Coturnix japonica: one gene and its partners. The protein of the gene in region 1 interacts with the protein of each later gene in a biochemical or structural test. Links are inferred from orthologs where the notes say so. Each region holds a gene or a part of one and is shown in the gene's direction. Other genes may lie near its edges.

Evidence for each region.
Region 2: the proteins of BCL2L1 (region 1) and VDAC1 form a complex in vitro, tested with the Homo sapiens proteins (4 studies listed by BioGRID). The link is inferred for Coturnix japonica from reciprocal best matches to the Homo sapiens genes BCL2L1 and VDAC1.
Region 3: the proteins of BCL2L1 (region 1) and BMF interact in a test that uses a peptide from one of them, tested with the Homo sapiens proteins (2 studies listed by BioGRID). The link is inferred for Coturnix japonica from reciprocal best matches to the Homo sapiens genes BCL2L1 and BMF.
Region 4: the proteins of BCL2L1 (region 1) and PMAIP1 interact in a biophysical measurement, tested with the Homo sapiens proteins (3 studies listed by BioGRID and IntAct, with this or other methods). The link is inferred for Coturnix japonica from reciprocal best matches to the Homo sapiens genes BCL2L1 and PMAIP1.
Region 5: the proteins of BCL2L1 (region 1) and SIVA1 form a complex in vitro, tested with the Homo sapiens proteins (2 studies listed by BioGRID and IntAct). The link is inferred for Coturnix japonica from reciprocal best matches to the Homo sapiens genes BCL2L1 and SIVA1.

What each region holds. Positions count from the first base shown.
Region 1 is NC_029535.1:9,011,382-9,015,630, forward strand, and holds the start of BCL2L1 (bcl-2-like protein 1), read left to right. Parts: upstream 1-1,441; 5' UTR 1,442-1,613; intron 1,614-2,406; exon of another isoform or gene 2,407-2,531; intron 2,532-2,947; exon of another isoform or gene 2,948-3,077; intron 3,078-3,155; exon of another isoform or gene 3,156-3,273; intron 3,274-3,466; 5' UTR 3,467-3,576; coding exon 3,577-4,128; intron 4,129-4,249. UniProt on the Homo sapiens protein: Potent inhibitor of cell death. Inhibits activation of caspases. Appears to regulate cell death by blocking the voltage-dependent anion channel (VDAC) by binding to it and preventing the release of the caspase activator, CYC1, from the mitochondrial membrane.
Region 2 is NC_029528.1:2,133,939-2,137,451, reverse strand, and holds part of VDAC1 (voltage-dependent anion-selective channel protein 1), read left to right. Parts: intron 1-322; coding exon 323-475; intron 476-565; coding exon 566-618; intron 619-2,282; coding exon 2,283-2,510; intron 2,511-3,513. UniProt on the Homo sapiens protein: Non-selective voltage-gated ion channel that mediates the transport of anions and cations through the mitochondrion outer membrane and plasma membrane.
Region 3 is NC_029520.1:27,123,336-27,126,848, reverse strand, and holds part of BMF (bcl-2-modifying factor), read left to right. Parts: intron 1-785; coding exon 786-949; intron 950-1,724; exon of another isoform or gene 1,725-2,025; intron 2,026-3,513. UniProt on the Homo sapiens protein: May play a role in apoptosis. Isoform 1 seems to be the main initiator.
Region 4 is NC_029547.1:8,679,725-8,683,754, forward strand, and holds the start of PMAIP1 (phorbol-12-myristate-13-acetate-induced protein 1), read left to right. Parts: upstream 1-1,218; 5' UTR 1,219-2,484; coding exon 2,485-2,536; intron 2,537-2,683; coding exon 2,684-2,841; 3' UTR 2,842-4,030. UniProt on the Homo sapiens protein: Promotes activation of caspases and apoptosis. Promotes mitochondrial membrane changes and efflux of apoptogenic proteins from the mitochondria. Contributes to p53/TP53-dependent apoptosis after radiation exposure. Promotes proteasomal degradation of MCL1.
Region 5 is NC_029520.1:46,911,695-46,915,168, forward strand, and holds SIVA1 (apoptosis regulatory protein Siva), read left to right. Parts: upstream 1-1,168; 5' UTR 1,169-1,556; coding exon 1,557-1,674; intron 1,675-1,750; coding exon 1,751-1,942; intron 1,943-2,027; coding exon 2,028-2,184; intron 2,185-2,733; coding exon 2,734-2,791; 3' UTR 2,792-2,971; downstream 2,972-3,474. UniProt on the Homo sapiens protein: Induces CD27-mediated apoptosis. Inhibits BCL2L1 isoform Bcl-x(L) anti-apoptotic activity. Inhibits activation of NF-kappa-B and promotes T-cell receptor-mediated apoptosis.

The sequences.
Region 1 (4,249 bases):
CTTTTGTACAGCACAGAACCAGCAGTGAATTCATCACCCTATAACCACAGCACAGAGCTATGCTACCACCCCATCATATAACACTGGGATTGAAGCAGTGAAGCCACACACATCACCCAGAGGGGAACGAGGTGCCAGCAGCCTTTGCCCTAAAGCTCCCCTTAATCTGTCCCCTGTCCAAGGGCTCAAAATAGAGCCCGGCCACCTCACACTCCGTAAATGAGATCCCACGGGTTCTAAGTGATACAGAGACAGGCACGGGCCTAAGAATAGCAGCCCAAGGAACCGGCTGGGTTATTTATAGGCAGGTAACCTCTGCTTATTATTAGATAAACTGACGTTCAAGCAACACAAAGAGCAGTATAACCATAGCCAATGTGACAGCAATGGCCTCACCAAGGGGCACCAATGGCCTCATCCTGACCCTTTTACTTCAATACCGAAGCATCAAATCCCTTTTCTCCCCCATTTCAGACACTGCTTTCTCCCCTTCCCCCCTCAGAGCCGTTCACAGCGTCAGGCTGCGGCCTACCCCCAACAAGCGGACAAAGGGGCCCAAAGCAGAACAGCAGCCCGTGCTGCCGGTACCGAGGCACACTCATGAAGCGGGGACAACACCAGGAAGGGCTGTGTGCGGCTGTGGGCAGCCCCGGTTGCCGTTGATTCCCGGTGTCCCCCCCCGTTCCTCACTCACCTCAGCGCCGCAGCCGCCGAGCGCGGGGCTTCTGCCCGCCGCCGTTAGAGGATTTCAAACGGGACTCGTCTTGTCCGAATGGACCAATCAACGCTCAGCTCACGCCCTCGTTGCGTGTTGATTGGACGGGCTGTCCAGACGTTAAAGAACCCGGATGAGCGCTCCCGCCCCTCCCGCGGGGGATGATGGGAAATGTAGGATTCGAACGGAAGGAACCGAAGCCTCAGCACCAGAAACAAACTGCTACTCCCATCATGCACAGGGAGAGAAAGGCTTCGACCAATCAGGGGAGGCGGGGCTCTGAAACAGCCAATCAGCTGCAGGGAGGCGGGTCTACCAGGCAGGGCCGGTTCCGCCCGTGTCTGCCCTCTGCCGAGTCTGCTCCTTGTTACCAACAGGTCAAGTCACCCGATTACAGCAGCCATAAGGATCCCCCCGCCCAGCCCCTCACTAACCTCACACCGCCCTCTATGGCCATGGATTCAAGCAGCCGCCTCATCCAGCCCTATGGCCACACCGGCCTTTCCCCGGCTGCAGCTCAGCTCCGAGTCACAGCCCCGAGTGCTGCGGGAACACAACGCACCTGCGGGCGGGGCAGCCGCCAGGGGGCGCTCGAGTCCAACCGGCCTCCTTGTCGCTGCGCATGCGCACTGCCACGGCCGCACAACGCACGCAGGCGCATGCGCACCGCACCTCAGACCGGCGGCGCCGCACGCATGCGCGCTGCCCCCTCCCTCCCTCCCGCCCCCCCCGGCTCGGCCCAGCAGCGCAATGTCCGCTCGGTGCTGATGCGGCGGGACACCGGGCACTGCTGACAGGCCCGACGGCCGGCTGGGCTCCCGGCCGAGCCCTGCGTCGTCACCGGTTGGGCCCATAGAGCGGGATCGGTCACAGCCCGGACCATCCACCGACCGCTGAGGTGAGGGGCGGAGCGGGGCAGGCCGTGAGTGACGGGCGGTTCCACCAATCAAAGCAGGCCGTTCTCTAGCTCCGCCCTCTCGGAGCTGTGGCGGCCGGTGATTGGCTGATGGCGAGGGGCGGGCTGTGTGCCCTATGGCGGCCCTCGTGTGCGGGCCCCGTGAGTGGGGACGGCGGCCGAGAGGGGCCATGGGAGCGGGTACGGCCTACAGCAACACCGGTACGAGGGGACCGGAGTGACGGCACTAAGGAAGCCGGGCTGTACGGCGAGACCCTGCCATAGTACCGGGGGGGAGCTCTTTGTTCAGCCGCCCTGTGGGTGCAGCACCCCGGGCTCTGCATCCTGCTGCCCCCAGCTCAGTGCTCCATGCATTGCATTGTATTGCATTGCATTGCATTGCATTACATTGCATTGCATTGTATTGTATTGCATTGCATTGTATTGTATTGTACTGCATTGTATTGCATTGCATTGCCCTGCAGCCCTTACCTGTGCCCCAGTCCTGCCCCACACTCTGACTCACCGCCAGGCTTTGGCACGAAAACCTTACAAAGAAACGCCAATTACTCAGAGCTCAACGCCGCCAGCAGAGGAGCGGCCCCTGCTTCCTTCATACATCAGAACGCTTCGTTATCTGCCTTTTGGAGAAGGAAAAGGCTCCACAACAGTGGGACCTCCCAGGGGCTGGCAGGGCTGGGGGCACCAGGAGGGCACGGAGCCTTGGCACTGAATAGGAGGGAGGGTAGGAGGGGTGGAGTGGGATGAGAGCACAGTGGGAGGGCTGGGGAGTTGCCTCCTCTCAGCGTCAAATTACTTTAATCCAACACCCTCAGCCAGAAGGAACGAGCTGCTGTTTCCCAGCCCGAGCTGCTATTTCCCAGGCTTTTCTCTGCCCTTTTTCTCAGGGTTGGGGTGTGGGTGAGTATAGAACAGTGACTCTGTGCTTTGTGCAGCCCTGCCTGCCCGCTGCTATGGGGCTTCGGGAGGAGCAGCCCCTCCGTGCTTTCCTTGCAGCCCCCAGGGTGGGGGGAATGCATTGCATGAAGGCTGCTGGGGTGCATGCAGGGACTGTAATACCTCGTGGGGAGGAGGGGCTGTGCAGAGGAAACAGCATTCAAACGACTGCAGGGACCTCAGTTTAAATAACATTACAAACAAACACCCTTTATTTCATCTGTGGTTTCATCTGCGTGTAGTTGCTGGAAGTCTTTAGAAGACTTCTCCTGGGGTTGTTCCTGTTCCTACCTTATTTCCAGGCCTGCTCCTCATACCGTGATACTGCACTGAGCCCTGCCATTCCCTTCTCCTCCAAAGGAGACCCCCGCACCTCTTACCTGCTGCTTTTAAAGGACACTTGGAGCCTTTCTCCCTCCCGTTCCCCCACGCTGGGGGCCGTTCCGAGGGACACGGGGCCGGGCCGAGCCACCGGGGATGGGAACGGGAAGCGGAGCCCGTAACCCAGCTCGGACACCGTCGGTCCCGCTGGGCAATGCCGGCGGGGGGCGCGGCCGGGCCCTTTAACGGGAGGGGCCGGGCGGGGGCGGTGCTGCCTCCGCCTCCGTGTCTCTCCGGGACTGACGGAGCGGAGCGGGGCCGGGCCGCCCGCAGCACCCGCAGCTCTCAGCCTCCGCCCGGCGAGCCCCGGCTCTGCCTGAGCCCGGTGAGCCCCGGGGCTGCGGGAGGGCTGAGGGTGACCCCGAGGGGGGATCCCCGTTCCGTGTGCGGCGGCGGTTCCGAGCGAAGCTGGGTGATGAGCTCAGTGTAACGTTAAGCTATTGATGTGCACGGCGCAGCAAGCTGTCGTGTTAACCGTTTCCTTGCCTCTCTTTTCCTCTCTGTGTGTCTGTGCAAAGGTCGGATGTGTTCGCCGGTGGTGAGGGAGCGTGGAGCCGGGAGCTGCTAAGTGTGCTTATCTGCTCGTGCACTGGACCATGGACTCATTGAGGGCGTTCCAGGTGTGAAAATGTCCGGCAGTAACCGGGACTTAGTGATTGACTTTGTTTCCTACAAGCTCTCGCAGAAGGGGCACTGCTGGAGCGAGCTGGAGGAAGAGGATGAGAACAGGACTGACACTGCGGCAGAGGCAGAGATGGACAGCGTCCTCAACGGGAGCCCATCGTGGCACCCGCCTGCCGGCCACGTAGTGAATGGAGCCACCGTGCACCGGAGCAGCATGGAAGTTCATGAAATCGTCGGAGCATCTGACGTGAGGCAGGCGCTGAGAGAAGCAGGGGATGAGTTTGAGCTGAGGTACAGGAGGGCTTTCAGCGACCTCACCTCCCAGCTCCACATCACCCCTGGCACGGCGTACCAGAGCTTCGAGCAGGTAGTCAATGAACTCTTCCACGATGGTGTGAACTGGGGGCGCATTGTGGCTTTCTTCTCCTTCGGAGGGGCTCTGTGCGTGGAGAGCGTGGACAAGGAGATGCGGGTACTGGTGGGACGCATTGTGTCTTGGATGACCACGTACTTGACCGACCATCTAGATCCCTGGATCCAGGAGAATGGCGGCTGGGTAAGAACTGCTCTCCCATAGGGATGGCTCCCTGCATCCTAGCTCAAGGCCAGATCAAGCTGCCTGCAGTGATTGTGCTTGTGCTCGGTCTAGACCTTGCAGGGCAAGAATTTGGTATGTG
Region 2 (3,513 bases), on another chromosome or scaffold:
GGGACTGAAATCCCAAACACGGCAGTGTTCCTATGTCTGCCCTGTATTCCTTTTTAAAAATAGAAGTGTGTCTTCCTTGATCTCCCCATATCAGCTTTCAGTTATACTATAGCCCTGCAGGCTGCCATGCCTTTATGGTGCAGCTCTGCGCAGGATTTGGAGCAGGCTCTGCAGGGATGTGCTGTGTGTTCTTCTGAGCACCTTTGAGAAAGATGCAGATCTTATTGTCCCAAATTACAACAAATAATAATTCTATGAAGATCAGTCATCACATGAGTACAAGCAACAGAGTGATACATATCATTTTCTTTTTCCTCTTCAGGAATTTACAAGCTCAGGTTCAGCAAACTCGGAAACAAGCAAAGTCAGTGGGAGCTTGGAAACCAAATACCGATGGGTGGAATATGGGCTGATGTTCACAGAGAAGTGGAACACTGACAACACGCTGGGAACTGAGATCACTCTTGAAGACCAGGTAACTCTGGGCTTCAAACATGCAGCTTCCAGATTCACTTGTGACAGTGTCTGACTAGAAATCCAACCAGTGAATTTCTTTTCTGTTCAGCTTGCACGTGGCCTGAAGCTGACTTTTGACTCCTCCTTCTCACCTAACACTGGGTAAGATGTCAGTAAGCTTCAGAGAGACACACATGCACACAAAAAAGCTTTTTCTGGTTCTGTTTTAGTTTCCCAAAATACTGTCTTCCTTACTCCTTCTGTTGTCCAAAGACATCGAGACATTTAATGCTCTGCCTATGCACAATGAAATCGTGTCTGTTTGACTTCACTCTTAAAATGAACAATTGCTCTCTAAACCGAACTTTGAAATGCACTAACTTGGAAATTATGGCCAGAATCAGAAGGAAATGTTTTGTTTCTGCTTTACTTCTGGCCATGTCAGAAAATGAGCACTTCGTTCCTGCCTGAATAAAAATGCCAGACAAATCAGCTGTAATGCAAAGCTTAACAAGCTCCACAAGCCAGTTGGCTGTGGCTCTAATAGGTCGGCACAGTAATTGGGCTCTTTTCCCAAGCTGAATTTGTCATCTTGAGTTCCTGCTGGCCGCACAGTGCCGTGGTGCTGCACCCTGCGATTGGATGTCACGGTTATGTGGGCCAGAGGGATTAAGCAGCAGCTGTAGGGCTGTATGCTGGTTTATTTTCTGTCCCCTCTTGATTATCTTTTTGCAATCAGTGTTGCCACTGAGCCAAAATGCTCCGCTCTGAGCTGCTCAGAGCAGCGTGCTGCAGTGCTTCTAGTCCCAATGGAGGCTTCATCCTGCCTGAAATGTCACGTTCCCCGCTGCCAACTGCTTGCTGCCCATTCTTTACTCTGAATTAACCGCATATTTTTGCATTTGTCAAGCAGAATAGTCTCCAGTTTTTGTTAATAATCATTTCTCAGCTTCTGCAGTAATTGCAGGCAGGTTAATGCTGGCATTTCCGGGACTCCTGCTCGTCATAAATTCCTGAGTTAGAAATAATAATAATAGAGAGCAATCTCTATGCAGGTCTGATACAGCATGTTTTGCAGATCATGGGGACTCTTTCTGCTGGCTGAAGTGGGCAGTTGATTAGAAATTTCCTATCAGCCTTACTTTTCTGGTAGGATTTCAGTAAATGATTTGGTAAATGATCCTGGCCAAGAGGTCAGGAAGGGCAAAAGAAGGAAGTGACTTGAGAAAGTTTGTTTCTGCAATTAGCCTTTGTTACTGCTGTAAGCACGCAGTGCTGTAATGCATCATAGGGAGGAAAGGGGGCTGCAGCACCTGCTTCCTTAGCAGCTCAGACCTTCCCCTGGGAAGCTGGAGGCAAAAAAGTGTTTTGCTGTTGTCTGGCAGAGTAAATGAAGTTACGCAGTAACCAGGATTGCCTAAAAGCTGTTTGTCTGGGACGAAAGGTGAACTGCTTTGGTCGTTGGCAAACCTGTAAACTGTTGGTTTCTGTTATTCCCTTGTCACTCCTAAACTACTGAGAAATCAGACTGTGGTGAGGATTGGCTTTTGTCACTTCAAATCTGGCACACTGTGCTGTTGCTCAGCAGGATGCAGCTCAGAAGGGCTTAGAAAAGCACCGCACTGCATGTGATTGCGTGCACTTCTTTGTAGGTGAATGAAAGTCTCACAACTCTGGAATTTAAGAAGGCGATGTATCATTTGACTCTGCAAACACGGATACTTTGTCTTCAAAATCTGTTACACAGAGTTAAAGTAACTGATTTGATTGAATTGCCACCTGAGAGTGCCAGTTCAAGGATGTGAGATTCTTTCTCTTTGCTTTAGGAAAAAGAGTGCTAAGATTAAGACAGGATACAAAAGGGAACACATCAACCTGGGCTGCGACATGGATTTTGATATCGCCGGTCCTTCGATACGTGGAGCCCTGGTGCTTGGCTACGAGGGCTGGTTGGCAGGTTACCAAATGACTTTTGAGACAGCAAAGTCGAGAGTAACCCAGAGCAATTTTGCTGTCGGCTATAAGACTGATGAGTTCCAGCTTCACACTAACGTGTAAGTATTGGAGGGTGGTGGGCATTAAAATGAATTTAAGAGCATTTTGATGCTTCCAAAACAGTGATGGGGCAGAGTTTCAAAACTTGAATAGAGGGGGAGGTGGCTCTGATGTTGCTTCTTCACTTGGGATGGCGAGCAGAGTTTTACAGTTGCATTAGCTTTCCACGTGTGTGTGGGTGCATCCATAGTCCATCCGTCAGACACACAGCGATTGCTGCAGCCTCTTTGTGAAATCAGGAAACAAGAGGGTTTCAAAAATATTGTCTGTGAATGTTGAAGTCAAAGCAATGCTTCCCTTTTGCACACGTAACAATTGAATTAACTGTGCTGGTTTGATCTGTAGAAGGAGGAGTTTAATCAGATGGCAGTAACAGACAGAGGGGATCCAGTGGGACAGATACGGAGTGGTTTAGCTTCAAGATTGGAAGGGATATGACTGAAAAGTTTGCCTTAGTACTGCAGCTCATAATGATCTCAATACACAAACGTTAGTGTTTTCCAAATGTTTGTGCAGAGAGAAACCAGGATTAAATTCCTCGAAAACTTGATTTTTGTGCCTCCTGTTCCTCTTAAAAAAAGCAGTTCATGTCTGCAGTAAGACAGGCTTTTTTTGCTTTGTTTTTAATTAAGATGAAGCAATCTCTGCTCCACACCCTCTACCACTCCGTTGGCTAACTGCATTTTTGCATGTAGCAGAGCTGTTGCAGGCTGTTCCCATTTCAGGGCTGAACAACCGTTCTGCTTTCCCGGAGCTGCTGCTTCAAAGGCTTTCTGTTCTGTCTCACGCTGTTTCGCAGAGATCTGGTTTAGGAAGTTGCTTTACAGAACAAATGAACCTTCATAGCCCAGGCAGTGTTTGAAGGACTGCCAAAGCACAGAAATGTGGGCAGGAAACTTCCATCGGACCGATACAAGGGGTCCCCCTCTGCTCAGCAGTTACGAGCTATTCCTTCAGGCATAATGGCTTTCAACTTTGTCATGCTGTAGTAGTTCCAAACAT
Region 3 (3,513 bases), on another chromosome or scaffold:
TGGTTGCTTTTGCTGTACTTGATACGTCTACTTTTTTTTCTTTTTCACTTTATTCTGTCACTTTATTTTGCTGCCAGGCATTAAAATGTTCACCATCCGCCATAGCCTACCATTTACCTGCTTTTTTTTTTTTTTAAAAAAAAAAAACCTCTTGTGCTACTCATCCACATAAGAAAACCTCCTGAAAGTTTGCAATGAAGAGAAGAAAATGCAAAAAATTCCCACCTAATGGGACAGACTTTAGGCTCTTTACTGGAATTAAGCATGTTGAATAAGTAGCACTTTACTGGTAACTGATGGGACATCATTCAGTATTGTGTACTCAGTCCAACCTTAATTCAAGTCAGTCCCACTGAACACCCAAGAAAACAACTGAGAAAAGTCTGAAGGCATAGCACATACAGAAAACCTTAAAGGGGGACAACTTAAGGCAATGATGTTGGAAGAGATGTAAAACTGTCATTAAAGAAAAACGAACACCTCTGCACTCGTCTGAACCATAAACAAGCAGAAAGAACCAAGTTGAAGATCCAGTCATTTGATTAGGGGAAGCAACACAATGTTATGCTTAATTGTTATAAATCTAATTTAAGCTGAGCAAATTAAATCTGTACTGCATGCATATGGTGTATGTGGTCATTGCTTGGGCTTTAGAAACTGGACTTTAAAATGAGTCAAAAAATCAGGATTATGTGCAACTCTTTCTGTATGCCTGAAGTGTAATACTGAATAAAAGAACTACTCTTTGTGCTAGGAGAATGACTCTGCTGGTCTTTGTTTTGTAGGGAATGCTGGTTACCGCTTACATGTCCCTCCAGTTGGCTTTGCTTTGGATCCAAATCTCCAAGAAGAGCCTCAGGAAGGTCAGCGGGAGGCACGTACTGAGGTGCAGATTGCACGGAAATTGCAGTGCATTGCAGACCAGTTCCACCGGCTCCACATACAGCGGGTAGGGTGTTTCCAGAGGGGATGGTGGGGTCTTTCTTATCCAAGAGTGGTGCTCCAGAAGATTGGCTCCAGGCTTCAGCTAAGCAGGCTGTTGCCTAAGGCAGCCACGAGCTGCCAGTAGTGACAAAACAGCATGGTATACCTATGTATTTTGCTCATGCTAGATTGATGGATCACTGTAAAAGACTGGCAGGTAGGGGGAAGAGCATGTATAGAACTGCACTTATTGTCTGGGAGGGTAGCTGCTGTTGTCTGCTATTCTGGCTCTCCTGGTTCATCAGCAACAGGGTCACTGATGCTTTCCCTAGCATTTTACTTTTCTTCTCCGCTCTCCTTACCTCCATCATCACGTCTTCTGTGGTACAGCTGGTTGTCTGTGACTTGTGTCAGTTCCTCATTTTGGAGATGACAACAAGCCTAGAGTCTGTTTTGGCACTCCTTGTTGTCTAGGGATAGATGTCTCAAGTAATAGAGTGCACTATGATCATGCTGGACTTGCTAGCAGCTCCTCTGTGGGACAGTCCTAGCTGGTGTCTCAGATTTGTGACCAACTTCCTCACAACATAATAGAGCTGTAAAATGCCATCAGGTCTGAAAAACAGAATCTTGTTTTACTTTTCTTTAAAAAAAAAGAAAAGAAAAAAGAAAAAAAAGTACTTTGCTGTTTTTTAAAGAAACAAAAGCCATGTCCCTTAAAAATGTAGATCCTTTCTCCATTCTCCCTTCCTTCCCCTACTGAATGGTAAACAAGTAGACATCCCAGCCATGCAGAGATCGGTGGCCAGAGTTCGGCAGCACTTTACTACTTGTATGCAAGTCCAGCAGGGTGTTGCAGTTTGTATCCAACTGTGCATATGAAGAAGTTGACACTCTTGCTGACTTCAGAGAGTGACTTCAAAAGCTTATCTCATTCCAAATGTGTTGGTGTTGTTAACTTGAAGTCTGTTTCAATTCTTTTCAAAGGTAAGTGAGGAGCTCTGCCCTGATCAGAGGATGTGGCTTGTAGGAGGGCAAAGTTTTAGTTGTCTCTGTGATAAGAAAGAGGGAAACAGGACTCTTCTTAAGGGGATGTTAAAGCTGTAACAGGAAGATAGAAAGGTGAATTGGGCTATGAATGTCATTTTGCAAATCACAGAAAACGATGAACAACCTCAAGCTTTTTAGCATGTGTTGCTGGTTGAACGGGGTTTTCCCCAGCGACACCTTTTCATCGCAATAGCTATCTACAGCCAGATTGTCTCAGTAAAAGGAAGGCGAATGTCTCCAGAGTGGAGGAGCCCTGGAGTAAAGTGGTGGAACTGGTTGTAACTTGACCCCTTGCATCTCGGGGACTAAACTCATATCTATGCCTTGGAAACGCATCCAAGAATGCCCACCCAAAGCAGCGCTCTGAAGCTGCCCCTGCTCTGGCTTTTGCTGCCTTTGGCCGCGGGGAGCTGCCAGCCTCCTGCGCTGTACGCAGGGCTGCGGCTCGGGCTGCCCGGCCAGCCCCAGTGCGTGCCGGCCAAGCATGTGGGAGAGTTAGTAAACAAAGGCGTCCGCCTGCACTACCCAATCCTGCAGCCAGCGGAGGAGGAGCTCTGCCGTCTTTGTTTGGACTGGAAGAGCAACAAGTTGTAAAGGGGGGGAGCTGTTCAGCCATTTACGTTTGAAAACAAAACCGAAGAAATCCAGAAACGTAACCGAGGATGGAATAGTTCAGCCAGTGGTTCTCCACAGCCCGACCCTGGGACAGGCTTTGGCATTCGTATCTGCTGGGGGATTCTTTCTCGTTTGTCAGGGGAACTTCTTGCTGAGCCACATCGTAGTGTCTGAGGCACTGTTCCCCATGGAGTGTTTTGTTGACATGTCCAGTCCCCTCCAAGCCCTGCATGGAGGATTTCCTATGGCTTTTGGCATGGCTTCATGCAGCCCCTATGTCCTGTGTGCAGTGACTTTTTGCAGCCTGCCACTGAGGAACTGAACAGTCTGAATCTGGAGAGGCATGGACTGGCTTGACAATGTGTTGTGGGGCAGTCTGGGACATGGAAAACCAGGCTGTCATCTGGCTTGCTGCAAAACTGAACACAGATTTGGATGCCCCATTCCAACCTGTCTCAAAGTGCCAGTCATAATCAGCTTCCCAAAGTGATGTCTAGAATCAGATTTAGAAAACCACAGAGTTAGTCACACCACTGTGGTCTTGTGAAGTCCTGAGAAAGAGCATGTCTGGTTTTCAGCAAGCTGTGCCTCTTCTTGGGGACTATAAAACATCTTATCTGGGAACTTGTGAAAAGAAAAAAACATGCTCTCATTCAGCAGGAGTTAGGAGAGACTTTCAGTGTTGGAGTAATTCATGTGGCCAGCTCAAGAGTTGCCCTCACTTGGCTCTTGAGTTCTGTGAGACACTCCAGCAGTTCAGGTATAGCGCTCATGTTACTCCTGCAGCAGCAGAGCTGTGTTGACACAAAGGCTGTTGGTCGTTCCCTGGCTGTGAGAGGGAACTAAACAGGCAATTGCTGCTGAGGTTGACGTCACTGAGTTGTCATTGGACTCAGCTGCACGCACAATCTAACCCCATCCCAC
Region 4 (4,030 bases), on another chromosome or scaffold:
TTAACTCTGTTCCTACCCATTTTCCCCCAGGCTATGCCCATGGCCCCACAGCTTTCAAGACCACTCTAAGGAGCAGCCTCCTGGGGTGCTGCTCTTCCCACAGCCATGCTGCTTTGTTTAGAGGAACTGAAACCAACAGTGTCAGAGCTCACTGGCAGCCTGTAACCACAGCAGGTTATTTTTCACCCTGCCACATTGAGCAAGGCAAAGAGTGGCCCCACAGCCACAGCCTCATTGCCCACCAGCATCCAGCAAGCTCCTCCTGTGGCAGTGGGCTCTCTGCCCTGCACATAGGAGGGCTGCAGCAGCAGGGCATGCAGAGGTGAGCACTGCAGGTGCCCTGGCCCGTAAACCCAATTTGCACACTGAAGACTCCCATTCTTCTTTTTGCCCTACAACTGTTCTCAAGTAACAAAAAGAAATAAATGAACCTTGCCAATCAGCTAGTCCACTGATCTGTGCACTGCTGCCCTGGCAGGTGGAAGTATCTCCAAAAGAAGAGAGACCGTCTCTTGGTGCTGCTGCAGGGGCAGTAGGATGAGCTACCTTTAAAGGCTGTTCCCCGTTTTGGCAAGGGAGTCTTTCTAAGCTGGGCAGATGCTCAGAGGATGGAGCAGCTGTTCTATGAAGAAAGGCTGAGAGAGCTGATCTTGACAGCCTGGAGAAGAGTAGACTGCAGGGACATCTCGCTGCGACCTGACAGTACTTGAAGGGAGATTATAAGCAGAAGACTTTTTATGCAGTCTGACAGTTGATAGGACAAGGTCCTCCTTAAAACTAAAAGAGGGGAGATTTTAGATTTAGAGTAGATATTAGGGAGAAATTCTTGACTCAGGTCAGTGAGGTCCTGGCACAGACTTTCCAGAGCAGCTGTGGTGCCCCATCCCTGGAGGTGCTCAGAGCTGGGTTGGATGAGGCCCTGAGCAGCCTGAACTAGTGGGGACAGCCAGCCCATGGCAGGGGCTGGGTTGAGGCTGGGGCAGATTTGAGGTCCCATTCTGTTCAATTAATTCAGTGATCCTATGATATATCAAGATTGAGGGGCACTGGTTTTTATGCCTGAGTAGTAGATCTCTCTCAAATTGTTTCTGGCTCCACTTAAATGAGCTAAATAAATGCTTGCAGCAATTCTCCTTTCTCATGCTTTGCTCCTCCGTTCCTTCTCCTCAGTTTTTGTTCTGTGGGGAGGACAACAAGAGGGCTGATGTGTCCCTGTTCCCTGCTGAAGCTGCTGAGCACTGCTGTTCATGGGGTTGTGGGCAGTGCACACTTGTGGGCAGCCAAGGGACACCCGCCACATGGACAATGCACCCCAGGGCTATTTGCTGCCTCCCTGCCACCTAAACCCAACAGACCTGTTTGGAGAGAGAGTTTCTCCCATAACAGGAATCAAAGGCCAAAGGGCACCTTTCTCAGTATGGGCCTGCATTACAAACACATGTGCTGGTATGGATGTGAAATGACCCTAAAAACATCACATCTAGCCAATAAGCCTGTATACCATGTAGGTATTATATCATAAGCTGAGAGACGAGGACAGATAAAAGAAAGTGCCAGAGGGCCCTGACACAGTGCCTGCCCGGTGCACCTCACTGTGCTGCAGCCTCAGCTGTGCAATATCCACACCCGGCTGTGGATTCCAGCAAGGCACCCTGAGACACGCAGGGAAAAGGAGCTCTGAACTGAGCTGGTGAAGTTTCCTCTTCCAACAGACAGCAATCAGCTTTGTAGACACTTGTCCCAGAGGCTCTGATCCCACAGGAAAGCACTTCCTGACCTCCCAATTGCAGTGTCTTTTCCTGCTTGTAGCTGCGTTGCAATGGGAAAGGTGGGTATACATTGCACCCAGCCTCAGATCAGCTCTTTGTTACGTCTGACCCTTCTTGCTCTCTTTCTGTCCACCTGTTTTCGTTTTCAGGTAAACACAAACAGCCATCACACCAAACTTTCCTGCAGACAGATGACTCACTGGCGGAGCTCTGGCAGCTCTCCCAAAACTATGCTACGATCACAAAAGTCACGAGGGCCATGCGGCAATTTCAGCTTTGCTTCCGTGTAGCACAACCTGGACTTGCAGGTGAGCTGCCAGAGCTGCCTGGGCACTGCGTGCGGGTCCAGCAGCAGGGTAGAACCCTGAGCTGCAGGTGTAGGTCAGCATCCTTCTACCTCCCATACACTGCGCATCCTTACACTGTTTTAACACAAGTACACCCCCCCATCCCGCACACCCATCCCCTCCCCCTCATCACGCCCCGCACCCCGCTTTATTTCTGCGTTCCTCCACCGGTCCGGGCTCGCTCCGACACGCTCCCGCCACGGTGGGGGAGGGATTCCCGCACTGTTCCTGACGTCACTACGAGGGAAAACCCCGCCGCGCTCCGCTTTTAGGGCGCGCATCGCCCCGCCTGCCCGCAGTGTCCCGCCGCCGCCGAGCCGTGTGGATCCGGACTGCGCCGAGCCGAACCGAGCCGAGCTGTTGCCGCGATGATGCCCGGCAGGACGATACGCAAACCTGCTCCACCCGCCGAGCCTGCAGGTAGGGCGAGGAGAAAGGAGACAGGTCTCAGGTGTTTTTATTGCGGGGGAGAGTTTGATGCTGGAAAAAAACACGCTTTTCCTTTTTCCTCTTCCTTTTTCTACTTGATATTCTTCTTGCTTTCCCCTGTGCCGCTACCTGGAATAGACCTCGCTCGAATTAAATCCCCACCTCCCTGCGCGTGCCTTGCAGAGAGGGACGCGGTGGCTGAGTGCGCCGTGGAGCTGCGCAGGATCGGCGACAAGGCGGACCTCAGGCAGAAGATCCTGAACCTCATCACTAAACTCTTCTGCCCCAAGACGTGATCCGCCGCCCCCGCAGCGCTGAGAAAGAAAGGGGGAAGATTTCGACTTTGCAGATCTGGAACGAGAGATTTCACTTACACTGGGAGATGGAGGGGAAAAAAAAAAAAAGCTCTTTGATTTGTGTTTTGCTACCTGCAGACGCCGAGGGATGGCTGTCACCATGTGATTTCTTTGGGAAGTGTTACAACGTTATTGCTTTATGGATGCTAAGTTGGGGGAAAAAATGGAGGCAATGAGCACCGGCCCCTCGCTACGTAGTGAGGGGCAGGTTGGAACTTGTTCTTCTTGGGGCTGGGGAACCCTGTGACAACCCCACCTCCCCTGTTGCCTTCGCATCCCACATCCCAGCCAGGAACTGCGGACAGAAAGGTTCCGAAGCAAAGAAAGAAGTTGTGGAACGTGGGCATGAGTCAACAAGGTGAAAGCCGGCGTTCAGGTTCTGACTGCCCTTATCTTCTACAGCTCGGATTCTGCTGGATGGGGAAGTGGTGGTGTTGGGGATATCTCATTTGTTCATTAAAACCACTGCTTTAATATAAAGGTTATTTGTTGTAGCAAGTGGCTTTGGGGATAAAAAAAAAATGCAATTCTGTGAATTAATGTGATATTGCATAGTTATAGTCTATATATTATATATATGTATATATTTGCATAGATATATATTACATATATATAAAATATGCGTACCCCTTTGTATGAGAGGAGTGTTTCACAGACCTGTTAAGTGAATGCTACTTCTTTAGGCTCAAAGAGTAGCATGAAAAAATGCTCAAAACATGATGGAAATAGTTCATATTAAGCAGAAGAGAAAGCACTCTCTTTTCTGATGGTACAGGAAACACTTCTTGAATTACAGAGGGGAACATAATTTAGTATACCATTAGATAATTAATACAAATGTATAGTACAGAAATACTGAGGTATGATGTATGTTGTGTGGAAGGTTTCTTCCAACACTGAAAAGAAGTTTTTGATGACAATACAGCTCCTCTGTGTGTTTTTCTGAGTAGCAAAATAACTTATCAAGAGACCATAACGTCGAATCTGAGTCAAAGATCAAATTTTCTTTGGATCGCCATTTTTTCAAGGAAGGCAGCCGCCTCCCTGTGAAGAAATCATAAGACAGATTGTTACAGTCAGTACAGGAAAGCAGCCGCAATCTTTATTCATTCTGTACGGGAAAATCCTT
Region 5 (3,474 bases), on another chromosome or scaffold:
CTGGTCCATCTGTTGTATGTCAGCTGGAGAGCAGAGTCTTTAGGCTGAGAGGGAGGAAAGAATGTGGGTAGGGTGTTAAAAACAGGAAGAAAGGCAAGATTGACATTGACATCTTGCCTTTCTAGTGCTGCAATTAATACATTGCTTCCTTATTCATACTCACTTCTAGTAGTTCATGTGGGGTCAAGCCGTAGCCCACTCCTTGTACCTCATGGAAGTTCGTTCTTATCCAGACAACAAGTCTGTGGAAAAGAAAGGCAGGGAACAACTGGCAGAAATTCCTTTCTGCTGCTTTTACTCCTGTGTGGGCCTGAACTCTTGTTTGTCAAAAGTGAAGTATTGTCCATGTGGATATCAGTCATTGTGAGGTATTAAAACCTGCAGAGTAGTTCCAAGACTTTGCCATTTAATCTACGTATTCTCACAAGAGATTAATTGTTGAAGCACCTTTGTGCGTTATTAATATCTGTTCATTTCTGCAGCTGTGTTTGCATTCAATATTGGCTCATCAGCTCTGAGACTGTCCAGGAGATGGGGAAAGATAAAAACAAGGGGACACAAACTGTTTATAACCTCCTTTAATGCATCAGGTTTTGGCCAGCAGCAGGAGGTAGTACACACTTTAACACTGTGCATGAATGTCTTTGGCAAGGAGATGCCTTTTCCAGGATAAAGCACTCATGTATTTGAATGTTTTCGAAGTGTTGAGATACTGTAGTCCTCATTTGGCAGGCACATATAATAACATCTATTAGTTGGCACCCTGGGTGGTAGGCCTAGTACTGAACATCACTTTTATAGCCTATATCACAACACTAGTGCAGGCTGCTCAGCAGAGAGCACAGAGATACAATGAGTGCCTTGGTGTCTCTCCCATAGAGATCCAGGCTGAGGAGCAGAATAGCACTTTCTGAACACAGAGTTCTTGGAACGATCACTTCGAATTAAATGAACAACGCTGTTTACAGTCCTGAGAGTGCCCTCTAGTGTAAGTGGGACCTTCGAGGATTCTGATCTATAGAGCAGAGCTGTTGTGTCTCTTACGAGAACCACGTCGTGCTAACTTAAGTGAAGGCACTGGCTGCTGTGCCAGGGTGGCAAACCCTTGTTTCAGCATTAATCCTGCACCTTGCTGGCTTATCATACAAGTTTTGGTGCCTGAAACAACTCATCAAGATGAGGCCATGAACTCAGTTACTAGTCATAGGAACATGACGTGGAGCTGTGTGCTGGCACTCATAGCAGTAATATATAATAGCACCTTTGATATGAGGTGTACACATGTTGTTGAGGAGTAAAGGCCGCAGGTTGGCTGTACGTGCAAAAAAGCCCAACGTGGCGGTGTGTCAGACGGGAACATCCCACCAACGACTCTCCATATCCCGGCATTTCGGCCGCATTACGGAGCCTGCGAGCACCGAAGCTCCGCCTCAGCGCTCGGTCGGAGCCACCCGCCGCCCCTCATCGCTTCCCGCCCCGCTGCTCCATTGGTGCCCGTGGCGGTGACGCGGTCGCTGCGCCGTCGCAGCCGGTTCCCGGTGCCTTTGGCGGAGGCGATGCCGAAGCGCTCGTGTCCCTTCGGGGACGCGGCCCCGCTGCAGCTGAAGACCCGCGTGGGGCTGAAGGAGCTGAGCCGCGGGGTGCGGGGCGACGAGTATCGCCGGGAGATCTACGGTGAGACGGGGAGGGGAGGAAAGGGCGGGTGAAGGGCCGCGGCCGCCCGTAACCCGCCTCTCGTGTCCGCCGGCAGAGCGCACCCGGCGGCTGCTGTTCAGGGCCGCTCAGAGCTGCACGGAGCCCGCCTGGCCCGCAGCGCCACGAGCCGCCAGCCGCTCCACGGAGCCGGAGTCGGGAGGGGGAAGCGTGGGACGGAGCCGGAGCGAGCAGCTGAGGATCGGGCCCAACGGGAAACTGCTGCGATGCACGGCCAACACGGAGAGCGGTGAGATGCGGTACCAAGCGGAGCTGACCAGCTCCTGCTGTTCTCTCTGTTTTCCTAGTTTCTTGATTGTATCTTTTCTAAGCAGTTCCTCCGGTGGGAGTTTCCAAAGCTTGCTCCTCATGTGTAAGAGCTGCTGATGTGAAGGAAGCGTGTGCACAGTGCGACCGGTTCGTGTGCCAGAGCTGCAGCAGGGTGTGCAGCTGCTGTAATGCCGTGACCTGCTCCCTGTGCTCCATCACTGAGTAAGTGCCTTTGGACTTCTTGGATTCTTGTCACTCCGTGCACCCTGACGACCTGCTGTAGTTTATGAAGCCTCAGCAGTCATCTAACTCATACATCCAATTGACTGAAACTCCTTGGATATTGAATTAGGAGCAATAAAACTGCGTGAAACGTGGGAAATGAAATGCCTGTGTGAAGCAGCTTAATCGATCTTAATGAAAGCCTAGTTCAGCTTTTCATTTATGTGCTCAAGGTGGCAATTATTCCTCTTGCTATTTCAACAGCAGTGTCCTATTCTGGCCAGTGACGAACAAATGCACTCCCAAGGAGTGACGTTAAGAGCTCCATGTTGTCATTAAGGGTGCTGTGATATAAAGAAGGTGTTGTGCTCGGAGTCATATGGAGGGTTATTAGAGTTAGGGTACTATGGTTGGGCTGCGGTTGGACTTGATGATCTTCAAGGTCTTTTCCAACCTGGGTAATTCTATGATTCTATGATTTGTGTTCCAAGAAAGGTGAATGCACTCTGACTTCTTGTTTTTCTTTCTTCTTTTTTCCCCCCCCTCCAGCTACGCTGATGTTGGTGAGCAAATTCTCTGCAATGGCTGTTCAATATTTCAAGTCTGAAAGCAGATGAAATAGCCTTTAGTGCTAAACTGCCTGTAAATTCCATGAAGGCTCCTCCTTACAGCTGGCCAGTTAATGCCTTTAACCCCTGAACCAATGATGGGATTTCTATGTTTTATATCTTTATATTGTACTTTTTAATATTGTAGTTAAATAAACTTTTATATTTTGAGGATTTCTGCGTTGTTTTGAGTTAGCTCTTGCTTTGCTCACGTTTGTGACACGTTTGGAATGGGCTGCTTTGTGCTCTTACCTGCTATTCCTTGTGCCACACAGAAGTCAGTCTCTCTCATTGCTCATATCAAGACACTCTTTGTGTGGATCGGAATAGAAATGGCGTGTTCCTTATGTGCTTCCAGGTGAGTGTAATCTATCCTGAACACAAAACATGCAGTGAACTAGTTAAGAGTAGTCAGCCATGCCTGAACTGACCTGCTCAGGACTGGCCTATGCATAGTTTGTGTGCTACGTTTGCTAGTCAGGAGATACCAAGAAACAGCATCACTGTAGGAATGTTTTAAGCCTGCTGGATTTGTGATGTACAGGTGATGCAGCCCAGTGTTGGCCCCCTGGTTTGGGAGGTGTGAATGTACCTGAGGCCTTTGGGTTAAAGGCTTGGACAACACTTTTCTCTCAGCTGTCCCGAAGTTGTTTTGTGTTACGTCCACACGGTGGCAGCATTA